Anolis sagrei: one gene and its partner. The protein of the gene in region 1 interacts with the protein of each later gene in a pairwise test. Links are inferred from orthologs where the notes say so. Each region holds a gene or a part of one and is shown on either strand. Other genes may lie near its edges.

What was found. The genes of interacting proteins can lie anywhere in the genome.
Region 2: the proteins of CBX5 (region 1) and INCENP interact in binary tests that used the Homo sapiens proteins (3 or more experiments, as listed by UniProt). The link is inferred for Anolis sagrei from reciprocal best matches to the Homo sapiens genes CBX5 and INCENP.

What each region holds. Positions count from the first base shown.
Region 1 is NC_090022.1:188,553,068-188,560,777, reverse strand, and holds the start of CBX5 (chromobox protein homolog 5), read right to left. Parts: upstream 3,044-7,710; 5' UTR 2,874-3,043; intron 2,712-2,873; exon of another isoform or gene 2,622-2,711; intron 1-2,621. Other genes in the region: HNRNPA1 (heterogeneous nuclear ribonucleoprotein A1), read left to right, coding at 3,494-3,508, 3,599-3,637, 6,147-6,263, 6,866-7,012. UniProt on the Homo sapiens protein: Component of heterochromatin that recognizes and binds histone H3 tails methylated at 'Lys-9' (H3K9me), leading to epigenetic repression. In contrast, it is excluded from chromatin when 'Tyr-41' of histone H3 is phosphorylated (H3Y41ph).
Region 2 is NC_090021.1:237,572,417-237,579,437, reverse strand, and holds the start of INCENP (inner centromere protein), read right to left. Parts: upstream 3,009-7,021; 5' UTR 2,903-3,008; coding exon 2,884-2,902; intron 1-2,883. UniProt on the Homo sapiens protein: Component of the chromosomal passenger complex (CPC), a complex that acts as a key regulator of mitosis.

The sequences.
Region 1 (7,710 bases):
GACTTTCAGTTAACTGGAATTCAAGCAACCAGAACTCTCAAGCTATCAAAGAAATAATCAGATCAGACCCCACCTGTTTGAAATACCTTTTAAATGAACTGCAACAGAAGCCTAGTATTTTGTAGTATTTTATTGTCATATGGAAATTTTAGACTGCTTTTAATTTAATGGTAATTTTTAATTTTCTATAAGGGAGCATCCATTTAACTCTTTTGGGTTGTTTTAATCAATGGTTTTATATTATACTGTATGTTTTAATGATGTTGTGAATTACTTTGGGTCTGCTGGAGAAAGGCGGTATAGAAATTCCTGAAATAAATAAGTAATACTGTATACACAAAGCAATTTTTAAAATACAGCAAAACTGTGATGTTATGTTTGGCTTTATTTGCTTTTAATTACTGTATTTCAGTATGAATATCAAGTCAATACAGAGCATATGATATACTACAGTATGTAGTATTAGCTAGACCTATTTTAAATTGTAACTCTCAAGCAACCAGACCCTAATTTATCTGGCAACTGCCTATACATTTAAAATCTATTGCTTCTCTTTTCCCTTGAATTGCATTATCATTATTATACTACTCTGCCTTTCCCCCAAGATTAGGACTGAAGGCAGCTAACAAATTAATGATCACAATAGTTTAAAAAAAACATTGAGAGTCACTATTAAAGTAAAATCAAACTATTAAACAATTCAAAATACACTTTAACGCAAGGCTGGGCAAGGTAAGAGTGAAATTCCACCCACCAAAATATTTTTTTCTTTCCCCAAATATTCCAATAAGGGTTGCGATGAGTATTTTTGAATTTTGGATTATGTGATTTTAACATTAAGATGTTAAAGCTATGTTTCAATTGTCTAAATGTTTGTGTTCTGTTTAATATGATTTTAATGGTTTCATTTATAGTTATATGTATTGTTTTAGTTATTATGTTTGGTGTGTATATATCTCGGCATTGAATCTTGCCATTACTTGATATACACCACTTTGAGTCCTATCCCCACCCCCCGGGGTGTGAAAAGTGGTTTTGTTTGTTTTGTCATGTCAGAAGCAACGTGAGAGACTGCAAGTTGCTTCTGGTGTGACAGAGTTGGCCGTCTGCAAGGATGTTGCCCAGATGATTGGATGTTTTTATCATCCTTGTGGGAGGCTTCTCTCATGTCCTCGCATGAGGAGCTGGAGCTGATAGAGGGAGCTCATCTGTCTCTCCCCGGATTTGAATCTGCGACCTGTCGGTCTTCAGTCCTGCCGACACAGGGGTTTAACCCACTGCGCCACTGGGGGCTCCTGTGAAAAGTGGTGTATAAACACAGTCAATAAATAATAATATTAAAAACCCACCTACTCAGCACTGAAGAAGTCTCAGTTCTTAGGTTAAACTACAAAAATACATGACACAGATTATTTTTCGTTAAGATGGGTATTGCTGAAATAATATTTCCATTGAAATTTAGCATCATCTCAGGCCCCTTCCACACAGCTGAATAAAATCCCTCATTATCTGCTTTGAACTGGATTATATTGCAGTGTGAATTTAATGTATTGTCAAAGGCTTTCATGGCCGGAATCACTGGGTTGTTGTACGTTTTTTCAGGCTATATGGCCATGTTCTAGAGGCATTCTCTCCTGACGTTTCACCTGCATCAATGGCAAGCATCCTCAGAGGTAGTGAGACAAACGTCAGGAGAGAATGCCTCTAGAACATGGCCATTTAGCCCGAAAAAACCTACAACCCAGTGTGAATTTAGATAACCCAGTTCAAAGCAGATATTGTGGAATTTTATGCCTTAATATTCTGGGTTATATGGCTGTGTGGAAGGACCCTGGGAAAACCGCTGCCCTTTCTGTTTTTAAGTCACCCAAGTTTATGGGATTCCGAGCTTTTTAAACTATCGCTTTGCAATGAGGGCAGCCCCGGCAAACGTTAGCAGGCATTGCCAATTTCTTGAGCAAAAGACAAGAGACACGCACAAGATCTGAAGGGCTGAACGGTCTGCCATGTTGGCGGACCGCAGAGGTACTGAAAGGACATGGACAATTCATAGGTCCCTGGATATACTGGAAATACAAAAAGGTTTGAGATTGAACAAGAAGAGCATTAGAACTAGTTCGATCATTCACTGAATCATGGACTTTACTTAAAAGACTTTGATTTCTTATTATTATGATTACTATTATTGAAAAGCAGGCCCTTATGAGCAGCACAGACCACAAGAGGGCAACTGACTTCCACGAGGGAGGAGGTTCCTGGCGGGAAAGCCGCAAACTCCGCCCGCCCACACCCACACTCCTCTTGATTGGAGAGCGCGCACGTCGCTCGAGAGGCATTCCACCAATCCCGCGAAAGAATGAGAAGCGCCCGCCCCCTCGGTCAACCCCTCCCTCCTCCCTCTCAGCATTCTCTCGCTCGGGCCGCCTCCACACCCTTCGACCCGCCAGGCTGTCACTCATGCAAGCTGGCCCCGCCCACCCTCAGGCCCCGCCCCCTCTTCCAACGGTACCACAGTGCGGTTCAGGCAAGCTCCCAATCACGCCGAGACCACGCCCCCTCCCTCTAAAGGACCGGCTTTCGCTAGCACGCCGCCCGCCGAGTTATTTCCCGTGGTCGCTCACCTGGGAGAGTGGAAAAAGTAACGGCTCGGTGCGGAACCAACTTCCCCCACCCCCTCACAACCGCCGCTTCTGCGCAACGCCCGCCAAAACAGGTTCGCAGTGCGCACGCGCCGAGCTGCCCCCCCCCTCCGCCCCTTTCTCGCGCTGGCGTGAGGCGCGCGCACCGCTCCCAGCGTCCCTCCCTCCCTTCCTCCTGTCTGACACAAGAGTGAACTTAAGGCGCATGCGTGGCTTTTGTAGGCCCCGCCTCACCGTTTGCTGCTGCTGTTGCTGCCTGGAAGCAAGCTTTTATAGATCTGAATGGCCCTTTCCACCTCTTTTATTCTAACCCCCGCTGCCACCTTCGCCAAAGGCGTTGCATACAGTTCTTGGGACCGTTAAAGGAAAAACGTTCTAAGGCTGCCAACTTAATTCCCGCCTCTGTTAAAATGAATGAAAAGAAAGCTGACCAACCGGAAAAATGGAATCCGGGTATGTAAGCCAATCACAAGAGAGATGCGTTCTAAATTGGCCAATAAAGGGAAAGCTACCATGGAGAGGGGGCGGGTGCTGCCTCAGAAATGGCGGAGGACAAAATTGAGGAGTGACAAGTATCTTACCCAATAGCAAGCGAACGGAGGTGGGCAAGCCGTGCGAAAAAGGGCGAGGTCACTATTCTGTTGTCCAATAGGTTGCGGCCAATCTGCCCGCTGCCCAATGGGAGAGGAAGCGGCTTAGGAGACTGACCAATCGTGGTTGGCCGGGGGCGGGCCTTAGTAGTGAAGCGCCGGGGCGCTGCTGACTCTGCCTCTTTCCGCCTCAGCTGCAGAAGAAGGAAGAAGCCGCGTTGGGGAGGAAGCCGGGCTAGGCCTCGCCGAGTGAATATCGCCACCATGTCGAAGTCTGAGGTAAGGTCCGCCCGCGGGCGTTTGTGTCGTGTTGTTTCGAAACCAAACCTGTGGCTTGTTTTTGTGGAATTATGTTTCCTTTGCCTTTAGGGATCGTCCGATTACGGGTGCGATATGTCTCCTAACGAAGTAAGTGTTAAAAATCCTCCCCGCGCCAATGCTGGCTGTTTTTTCCCCCCTATTGGCCATTTTTGAGCTTCTGCTTCGGCCTCCTTCCCCTTGCCGCTTGGGCCTGCTTTTCCTCCACCTTCCCCGGCCACTACGCATGCGCGCTGGCTTCCCGGGGCAGGCGCCATCTTTTACAGTGCGTGGCGTTCTAAGCTTTCCCCCGGCGCCTGTAATGGCTGCGCATGCGCTGTGCAGTCCAGCAGGCTTTCTCTGGAGCGCATGCGCGCCGTAGAGCACAGCTTTTCCCCCTTGAGCTCTGTGCGGGGGATGGGAAAGGGCTGAGCCACGTGATCGCTCGCTTTGTCTCTTGAGCCCAGAATCCTCATTGATTCCATTTCGAACTTGAATAAACCCATTTGATTCATTGTGTCGAAGATTATGCAGTTTGATACAGCTTTAACTCCTACGGTTCAGTATCATTCTGAGAGATAGCCTTTTGTAAGGTCTTCAGCCTTCTCTGCCAAAGAGTGATGGTGCCTCACCAAACTACAACTCGTAGGATTCCATAACATTGAGACACAGGCAATATAATATATTATATGTACTTATAATATTGATTGTAGTATTATAATGTAATACAATATAATACTAATACAGTATAATCTATATAAACAAAAATGTAATGTTCGTTTGTGGGATTAACATAAATCAAAAACCACTGGACAAATTGACACCAAAATTGGACACAATACACCTATCAGGCCCATGAGTGACTATCACTCATAAAAACACTGAAAAACACTGCAGAAGGGAATTTAAAAGAGAAAAAATACATTACAACGCATTTGCCAAACCATATATATATATACACACACACATGCACGCAAAACGCAGACTGGGCCACAGCAATGCGTGGCAGGGGGTGGCTAGTAACATAATAAAATATAATAATTATATAGTACATGTAATATTACTAATAATTTTGCATCATAATGGTGTAGTACAATATAATAATATATGATGCTAGCATTGTACTATGCTAATAATGTAATATATAACTTGTAAGCTGCTCTGAGTCCCCTTCGGAGTGAGAGATGGCAGGGTATAAAATAGTATAGTAAATAAATAAAATAGCAATTAAATTATTAAACTACATAAATTCCATGTAGATGGACATCTTGCCTGAGAAGCATTCTGGACTCAAGCACCTTAATTATTCAGCCAGTTACACTGCTTTTGTAGTATTTAGAGAGAACTGTGTTGGTTTTGGAATATCAATCTGCAATTTTGTTGCAATTTAAAGACTACCTGACTATCCATCAGTTTTTGAGAGACCGCTCTCCCCACTGAGTTGGAGCCAGCCAGACATCGCTCCATCTTATCTTATTGTATTATATCGTATTTATATTGTAATTGTAAAAGTAAATTAATATTTTGGAAAACACCGAGCCTTTGTGACTAAAGAGTGGACTATAAATAAATAAAATAATAATGCTCAAATTTACAAAAGCTAATGCTACCAACCTGTTTTCCTCAGCCTTTAGAATGCCATTACATCCCTTTCCTTTCTTCCATACTCCACCCTTTCTAAGTTGGCGAGGTGGTCGTTACACAGTTCATTCCAAAATCTGCTTTTTATGCTTCTGTTATCTGGTGCATGGTCATGAAAGCAAAACATATTCCCATGTTGCCAAGACCCATGGTGCTCTTTCTGTGGATCCTCTGCACTATATTTACATAGACCAGAAAAAACACTTGTATTTGCAGGCAGCAGTCTTGAGCAATAGTATATATCCTTAGTCATTCATTGTAGCATGCCTTAAAAATTATTTGCTGTGGAGTCTTTAAAAATGCAATAATTTCCCCCAATGGTATGTTTATTTTTTCAGTGGCTCAATTCTGGGTTTTTTAACAGGTCTGCTAGTCAGTTTATTTATATTGCCCAACTTAATTATTCTGACAATTATGTGTGCCAGAAGTGCTGAAAACACAGGAAATGAGGCAATTGTCAGCAAAACCTATATGCTGTAATTTTCAACTCTCTTACAAAATTATGCTGCAAAACACTCTTTGTTTCAGTGTAGAAATTGAGAGAAACCCAGAAAGTACTTAAAGAAACAGTGGCATAATCTGTAATATTTGGAATCTGTGCCTAAGTGCTCCCAATGAAGTTTAAGACTTTGTAGTCAAGAGTAAGTAACATGCTAGTTTCACAAATGCTTGTGGCATGGTAAGAGTGTTTCTTTTCATTTACAGTAGGAGCTCTGCCTTCACAGGGGTTAAAGATACAGGACCCCTCTGAAATGGGAGAATCACAATTATTTTCTTTTTACCTGTGAAAATGCCTCTAGGACTCTGTTCTGGCAAAGGGTGACCATTGAGTAATTTTAGAGGACTTGGATATTCCTAAAGAGAGGATAGTACTAAAATACACAAAATGTAGACGGCGAACAGTTGAGTGAACATATTCTGCAGAACCATCCGGGCAATTTTACTTGTTGTTTTATCACCTTGCTTTTTTCTCTTTTAGTCCCCGAAGGAGCCTGAACAGCTGCGCAAACTGTTTATTGGGGGCCTCAGTTTTGAGACAACAGATGAGAGCCTTCGCAATCATTTTGAGCAATGGGGGACACTTACAGACTGTGTGGTAAGTATCTCCAGCATCTTGAGCACAGCTATTACAAGGGAAACATTTCTGGTTTGGACTGGATTGGGTATTGCAGCTTAAAGGACAGCACACCTAACAAGTATTAGAGAAGCTATTGAAAAAGAAGGGGGCATATTGTTCCAGCATGTTGGGGTGGGTTGGAATTAGTACTAGCTTTGATTTTCCCTTTTGTGTTAATGAAATCTGATATACTGGATAGGACAAATGTGAAGTTACCTTATTGCAAGTTAATCTTAGGAAATCCAGCTCATGAGCTTGGTGGGTATTATATCCTTGGAGTGTGTGTGTGTGTGTGGCTTATGAACTATGGCTGCACTTGGCTTGACAAGATTTAATGCACCCATAATTTCAAATTCATTTAAAACAAGGCATTTGCTGGTTGTTTCCCAGCAACTTCAGTGGGAGGGGTATCTGTGAGAAAAGGGTTGGTCTTTAATATATTTGTTCTGTATCCACTATTAGTTTCAGTGCTACCCATACTTGATATATGACACCACCAACAAACCTTAAGGAAAGTGGTTGCCCCCACTTGGTATATGCAGAACGCAAAATGAAATACTGATTTGAATACTTCATTCTAGGTGATGAGAGATCCCAATACTAAGCGCTCCAGGGGCTTTGGATTTGTGACATACTCAACAGTGGAAGAGGTTGATGCTGCCATGAATGCCAGACCACACAAAGTTGATGGTAGAGTTGTTGAACCAAAGAGAGCTGTATCCAGAGAGGTAAGAACTGCTCTTCAGTTTATTGTAACAGGAATAGATTGAGGTTCTGTACAGGCAGTCTCCAAGTTACGAGCAAGATAGGTTCTGTAGGTTTGTTCTTAAGTTGAATTTGTATGTAAGTTGGAACAGTTATATTTATTAAATCATAACGCCAACCTAATATAGTCAGATGGGTACAGGGTCCTCATCTTTCCTTGTAATTCTTGCTACAAACATCTTAGGTTGCCTTTCTTGTTTTTAGATATATGAAGGTAGAGTCCTAAAAGTGAATTAGGATAAAGAGACACTGAGGAAAACTATGTATGTTTGAAAACTGCATGAATTTTTAAAATAATTATATCAAATATATAAGCGTTGGATAGCCTAGGGAAGAGTGGTGTTTGTTTTACTGCCTGTTCAGAAGATTTCCTCTCATCTTCTGTCCCTGTGATAATTGGATTTCGAAAAAGGTGGTTTGTTGTGGAAACAAGAATTGATGCTGAAGTTCAATGGAGACACCTTTTCTTCATGATAACTTCTGGGAGTGAATTTCCCTTCTGGGGGATAGATTTCCTCTCACTTCCTGCTCTCTCTGTCAGAAATATTTAAAAAAAATTAACTGAGTATTTTTGATTACAAAAGTGGGAGTCAAGCACTGAAAGAGTTAGTAGGCCGAAGTCTTGTGTAAGAGCTCCAGTGTGAAGAGTGCTGCGTGTAAA
Region 2 (7,021 bases), on another chromosome or scaffold:
AAAAGTTTTCCTCTTGACATTAAGTCTAGTCATGTCTGACTCTGCGAGGGTGGTGCTCATCTCAATTTCTAAGCCAAAGAGCCGGCATTGTCCATAGACACCTCCAAGATCATGTGGCCAGTATGACTGCATGGAGTCCCATTACCTTCCCGCCCAAGTGGTACGTACTGATCTACTCACATTTGCATGTCTTTGACCTGCTAGGTTGGCAGAAGCTGGGCCTAACAGTGGGAGAAGATGGGGCAATGCTGACAGGGGATAGGGAAAAGGCAGAACTACTTAATGCCTTCTTTGCCTCGGTCTTCTCACAAAAAGAGAGTCTTCAACCTCAGCAAGATGGAGTGGATGAGGGATTGGAGGACATCCAACCCCAAATTGGGAAAGAAGTCGTCCAGGAATACCTGGCCGCTCTTAATGAGTTCAAGTCCCCAGGGCCAGATCAACTACACCCCAGAGTATTGAAGGAACTAGCGGAAGTCATTTCGGAACCACTGGCAACCATCTTTGAGAGTTCTTGGAGAACGGGAGAAGTTCCAGCAGATTGGAGGAGGGCCAATGTGGTCCCAATCTTCAAGAAGGGAAAAAAGGATGACCCAAACAACTACCGTCCGGTCAGCCTCACGTCGATACCGGGCAAGATTTTGGAAAAGATTGTTAAGGAAGCGGTCTGCAAACACTTAGAAACAAATGCAGTCATCACTAATAGTCAACATGGATTTATCAAAAACAAGTCATGCCAGACTAATCTGATCTCTTTCTTCGATAGAGTTACAAGCTGGGTAGATGCGGGGAATGCCGTGGATGTAGCGTACCTGGATTTCAGTAAGGCCTTCGACAAGGTCCCCCATGACCTTCTGGCAAGGAAACTAGTCCAATGTGGGCTAGGCAAAACTACGGTGAGGTGGATCTGTAATTGGTTAAGTGGACGAACACAGAGAGTGCTCACTAATGCTTCCTCCTCATCTTGGAAAGAAGTGACAAGTGGAGTGCCGCAGGGTTCCGTCCTGGGCCCGGTCCTGTTCAACATCTTTATTAATGACTTAGATGAAGGGCTAGAAGGCATGATCATCAAGTTTGCAGACGACACCAAATTGGGAGGGATAGCCAATGGTCCAGAGGACAGGAGCAGAATTCAAAACGATCTTGACAGATTAGAGAGATGGGCCAAAACTAACAAAATGAAGTTCAACAGTGACAAATGCAAGATACTCCACTTTGGCAGAAAAAATGAAATGCAAAGATACAGAATGGGGGACGCCTGGCTCGAGAGCAGTACGTGTGAAAAAGATCTTGGAGTCCTCATGGACAACAAGTTAAACATGAGCCAACAATGTGATGTGGCGGCAAAAAAAGCCAATGGGATTTTGGCCTGCATCAATAGGAGCATAGTGTCTAGATCTAAGGAAGTAATGCTACCCCTCTATTCTGCTTTAGTTAGACCACATCTGGAATATTGTGTCCAATTCTGGGCACCACAGTTCAAGAGAGATATTGACAAGCTGGAATGTGTCCAGAGGAGGGCGACTAAAATGATCAAGGGTCTGGAGAACAAGCCCTATGAGGAGCGGCTTGGGGAACTGGGCATGTTTAGCCTGAAGAAGAGAAGGCTGAGAGGAGATATGATAGCCATGTACAAATATGTGAGAGGAAGCCACAGGGAGGAGGGAGCAAGCTTGTTTTCTGCTTCCTTGGAGACTAGGACGCGGAACAATGGCTTCAAACTACAAGAGAGGAGATTCCATCTGAACATTAGGAAGAACTTCCTGACTGTGAGAGCCGTTCAGCAGTGGAACTCTCTGCCCCGGAGTGTGGTGGAGGCTCCCTCTTTGGAAGCTTTTAAGCAGAGGCTGGATGGCCATCTGTCAGGGGTGATTTGAATGCAATATTCCTGCTTCTTGGCAGGGGGTTGGACTGGATGGCCCATGAGGTCTCTTCCAACTCTTTGATTCTATGAGCTCACCACGCTCCCTGGATTTGAACCGCCAACCTTTCGGTCAACAAGCTTTAATCCGCTGCGCCACCAGGGCCTCACTTTAGAAATGATATAATACTCCAAACCTCTGACAGTCACAATAACAACACGCTGAGCATCCCTTAGCCAAAATGTTGGGGCCAGATGTGTTTTTAACATCGGAAAACCAAGGGCTGGCTGGCTATCTCATGCATCAAATTCTGGAGTATTTCAGACCTGGAAGATGGGAGGGGTTCAACTGAACATATTGGGGGGCAATCTATAGGGTGGGCATCTCTTACCCAGAAACTCCAAAGGCTTTGAAATCATCCAACCAGGAGAATAAGGTTTGTTCTCTTTGTTTTGGGATGGTTCAATATACTCAAAATGTTTCATGCACAGAACTATTAAAAACATTGTGTATGAAATAATTGCGTGTATACCAGGCCTGGGCCAACTTGGGCCCTGCAGATGATTTGGACTCCAACTCCCACCATTCCTAAGTCCAAATCACCTGCAGGGCCCAAGTTGGCCCAGGCCTGGTGTATACACTTCCAAATAACCCAGTTCATAGAACCATAGAATCAAAGAGCTGGAAGAGACCTCATGGGCCATCCAGTCCAACCCTCTTCCAAGAAGCATGAATATTGCATTCAAATCATCCCTGACAGATGGCCATCCAGCCTCTGTTTAAAAGCTTCCACACTCCGGGGCGGAGGCTCCTTCTTTGGAAGCTTTTAAGCAGAGGCTGGATGGCCATCTGTCAGGGGTGATTTGAATGCAATATTCCTGCTTCTTGGCAGGGGGTTGGACTGGATGGCCCATCAGGTCTCTTCCAGCTCTGATTCCCTGTGCACGAAGGGAAGGATGCGAGGCGGAGGCGGGCGACCCTTAAGGCCACGCAGCCCGCCTTCTCCCGATCCAGGACTTACCCTTTGTGCTCCCCGCCATTGCTGCTTGGGGAATACAGCCAGCTCCGGAGCCAACACTTCCGCAGCCAACTGTTAACGACGACCCGCGCTCTCAACGCCTGCAACCCAGGCTTGCCGCCGTTCAAATATTTTATTTTCAAACTACGTCACAACCCGCGGTCCAATCAGCAGCGCGCGCCTCCCGAACGGGGACAGCCATTGGCTGAGACGCAGCTGCCCAGGTGGACGGAGGGAAGGGCAAACCCGGGGTCACACGAGACTTCAAAGCGAGAGTGCATCCCTCCTGCAGAATCTTGGGGATTGTAGTTTAGGGGAGGGGACTTCAAAATGCTCAGCCAGGGGGGTTCCTGGGCCTCACTAAACTACAAGCCCCAGGACTCTGCAGGAAGGAGGCAACCACAGGATTTAATACTGTTGTTGAAGCCGGAATTACTGAGTTTTCCGGGCTGTTTGGCTATGTTCCAGACGCATTCTCTCCTGACGTTTCGCCCACATCTATGACAGGCATACTCAGAGGTTGTGAGATCTGTTTGAAACTAGACAAATGGGATTTATATATCTGCGGAATGTCCAGGGTAGGAGAATGAACTCTTGTCTGCTTGAGGCAAGTGTGAATGTGGCAACTGGCCACCTTGATTATCATTTAATGGCCCTGTAGCTCCAACGCCTGGCTGGTTGCTGCCTGGGGGCTCCTTTGTTGGGAGGTGTTAGCTCCTCGGACTACACAGAGAAGCCATTAAAATTGACAAACCTGGACAATTTCAACAGAAAGGAGGAAACCATGAAAATGAACAAAATCTGGCTACCAGTATTTAAAAACTCTAAAATCAAAACAGTAAATAAAGAGCAATCCTCAAAAACAGGGGAATTCCAGACAAGAATAAATCAGGGCCAACTAATCACCTCCCAACAAAGGATTCCCCAGGCAGTAAGCAGCCAGACCTTGAAGCTGCAAGGCCATTAAATGTTAATCAAGGTGGCCAATTGCAACATTCACACTTGCCTCAAGCAGACAATTATTATTATTTATTATTATTATTATTTCAGATACTTGTACCCCGCCCTTCTCAACCCCCAGGGGGAGACTCAGGGCAGCTTCCAGCCAGCAACAATTCAATGTCTCCAATGTACACATAATAAAATTATATAAATAAAAATGTAATGTTCGTTTGTGGGGTTAACATAACTCAAAATACACTAGACGAATTGACACCAAATTTGGACACAATATACATATCAGGCCAATGAGTGACCATCACTCATTAAAAAACTGAAAAGCAAAGCAGAAGAGACACATATATACATAAATATATACACATATATACATAAATATATACACACACAAAATACATATACACAGACTGGTCCACAGCAACTCGTGGCAGGGGACAGCAAGTACATAATAAAATCCAGTAATTACATTCATTTAAAGTATTAAATCTCATTAATTAATTAAAATCTGTTTCTGTTTAAAAAACAGCCTGGTGGCTGTTCTTTCTCCCACCCTGGACTTTCCACAAATATGTAAACTCCACTTGCCTAGTTTCCAACAGACCTCATAACCTCTGAGGATGCCTGCCACAGATGTGGGCGAAAGGCCAGGAGAGCATGCTTCATCTAGAACATGGCCATACAGCCCGGAAAGCTCACAGCAACTCTTTAAAGTACCAACTAACTGACGGGATGCTGCGCTTGAGGAAGCGGATTTCTTCGTTTATGTTAGGGTGCATCTATACACTGGAGAATTAATGCAGTTTGATACCACTTGGAACAGCCCTAGCTCAATGCTATAATATCCCGGAGTCATATTTTCACAAGGCCTTTAGCCTTCTCTGTGAAATAGTGCTGGTGCCTCAAGAAACTAAAGTGGTGTCAAACTGCATTCATTCCCCAGTGTAGATTTGGCCACGGTAGTCCACGCTCTGGTTACATCCCGGATTGATTACTGCAACGCGCTCTACGTGGGGTTGCCCTTGAAGACTGCCCGGAAGCTTCAGATGGTCCAGCGCTCGGCAGCCAGGTTGCTAACGGGAGCGGCACTCAGGGAGCATACCACTCCTCTGCTGAGCCAGCTCCACTGGCTGCCAATCCGCTACCGGGCACAATTCAAGGTGCTGGCTTTAGCCTATAAATCCCTAAACGGTTCTGGCCCCGCTTACCTCTCCGAATGCATCTCCACCTATGAACCGACTAGAACATTAAGATTGTCTGGGGAGGCCCTGCTCTCGATCCCGCCTGCGTCACAGGCGCGCTTGGCGGGGACGAGAGACAGGGCCTTCTCAGTGGTGGCCCCTCGGCTATGGAATGCCTTGCCGGCAGACATCAGGCAGGCACCTTCGTTGCTGAAGTTTCGGATAATGGTTAAGACCTGGCTTTATGAACAAGCGTTTGGCTAAGCAGTGCAACCAATCAAGGAAGACGGTAAATGGAACATAGGAATGGCACAAGGACTATGAGAACGGATCTGATTTCAACTGAGGCGTTATGTCTGTTGTTTTGTTGATTTGTCTTGTTTGATTGTTAATTGTTGTGGATCGATGTTGTTGATCCTGTTTGTTGCATTGTTATGTTTTAATTGCACTGTAAACCGCATTGAGTCGCCTGTTAAGGGCTGAAAAATACGGTATAGAAATGAAGCAAATAAATAAATAATAATAAATAAATGCACTCTTAGTTCAACGCTCAAACCAACCCAAGGCTCTATGAGGAGATGCTACTATAGAAAGTGCGCACGCGCCCCCTTCCTGCTTCCCCTGTCCTCTCTTTTGCCTCAGCGCGCCTCTGAGCCAACAAATCTCGACATACTAGTGCGCGTGCGCGTATTTATGCGAGCTGCTGCCCTTCACCGAGGTGAAACTGTAGAGGCGGGACTTCAGAGTGAGCCCTTTAAGCCTTCAGGACCAATCAGGAACACTTGCTCGAAAGGTTTCCCCCCTCCCCTTTCGAAGTACTGGCGGAAGGGGCCGGGTCGTTTCAAGCGGCAGGGCTCTCGTGCGCATGCGTTCAGGAGCGAGGCGTGGGGCGCATTTTGTGCAGCTCGGGGAGCGCTGTTGTACGTGGGGCGCTTGGGTGGATGTTTTGGTTTTCTTTGTGTAGCAGATAAATTGGGTTGTGAGGCTGCTAAAACGAGTTCTGCGGAAGGGAAGGAGATAGGTTTTTTCGCTTCTTGTCTCCCTGAGTAGCAGGCTTGAGACTTGTTTGGCTAAAGACTACAGCTCTCAGGATACCATAGTTAAAATGGTATCAAACTGCATTAATTCTTAAGTGTAGATGCACTCCAAGGGACCAATTACATACTTTTCAGCAGGCGATGTGGCGTTGCTATCTGTGGAAGTAATTGCCCTTAGAAGCTATGATAATTTCCATTTGATGTTCAATATTTGGTGTTACTTTTTTTTTCAGGTTGCTGCAAGAGGACTGCCTTGGGTGTGGCATTTTCATTTTTCCCATCTTGTAACGTCATTATTTCCAGGTTGTTGTAGGTTTTTCCGGGCTATATGGCCAAGTTCTGGAGGAACATTATTTCCCTTTAATATTGTTGGTCTGCTTTGCTTTCTCCTTCAGTTTTAATTGTAGACAGCATTGTTGTTGTACTTTCAGACTTCTGGTGAAGCTGTCACAGAGTTTTCTGGGTTGACTTGCCCAAGGTCAGAAGTAAATTAAGCCCAATCTCAAACCACGACACCTTCCTAGCTCTTTACCTCAGCTTTAATTGCAGTCTGTTGTGTCAAAGTGCATTAATTCAACAGTGTGAATGTTGCAGTTTGACACCACTCGAACTTCCATGGCTCAGAGATGTGGAATCCTGGGAGCTGTAATTTTTCAAGACCTATAATCAAGCTACAAGTAGAAAGTGCTCCCTATGTCAGCAACAATAAGAACAGGATACTGTATATATTGCGTTGTGAGTTTTCCAGGCTGTCTGGCCATAATCTAGAATCATTCACTCCTGACATTTTAAAGCCCTGTGCTGGCAGGACTGAAGACCGACAGGTCGCAGGTTCGAATCCAGGGAGAGGCGGATGAGCTCCCTCTATCAGCTCCAGCTCCTCATGCGGGGACAAGAGAGAAGCCTCCCACAAGGATGACAAAACATCAAAAAAAATCATCCGGGCATCCCCTGGGCAACGTCCTTGCA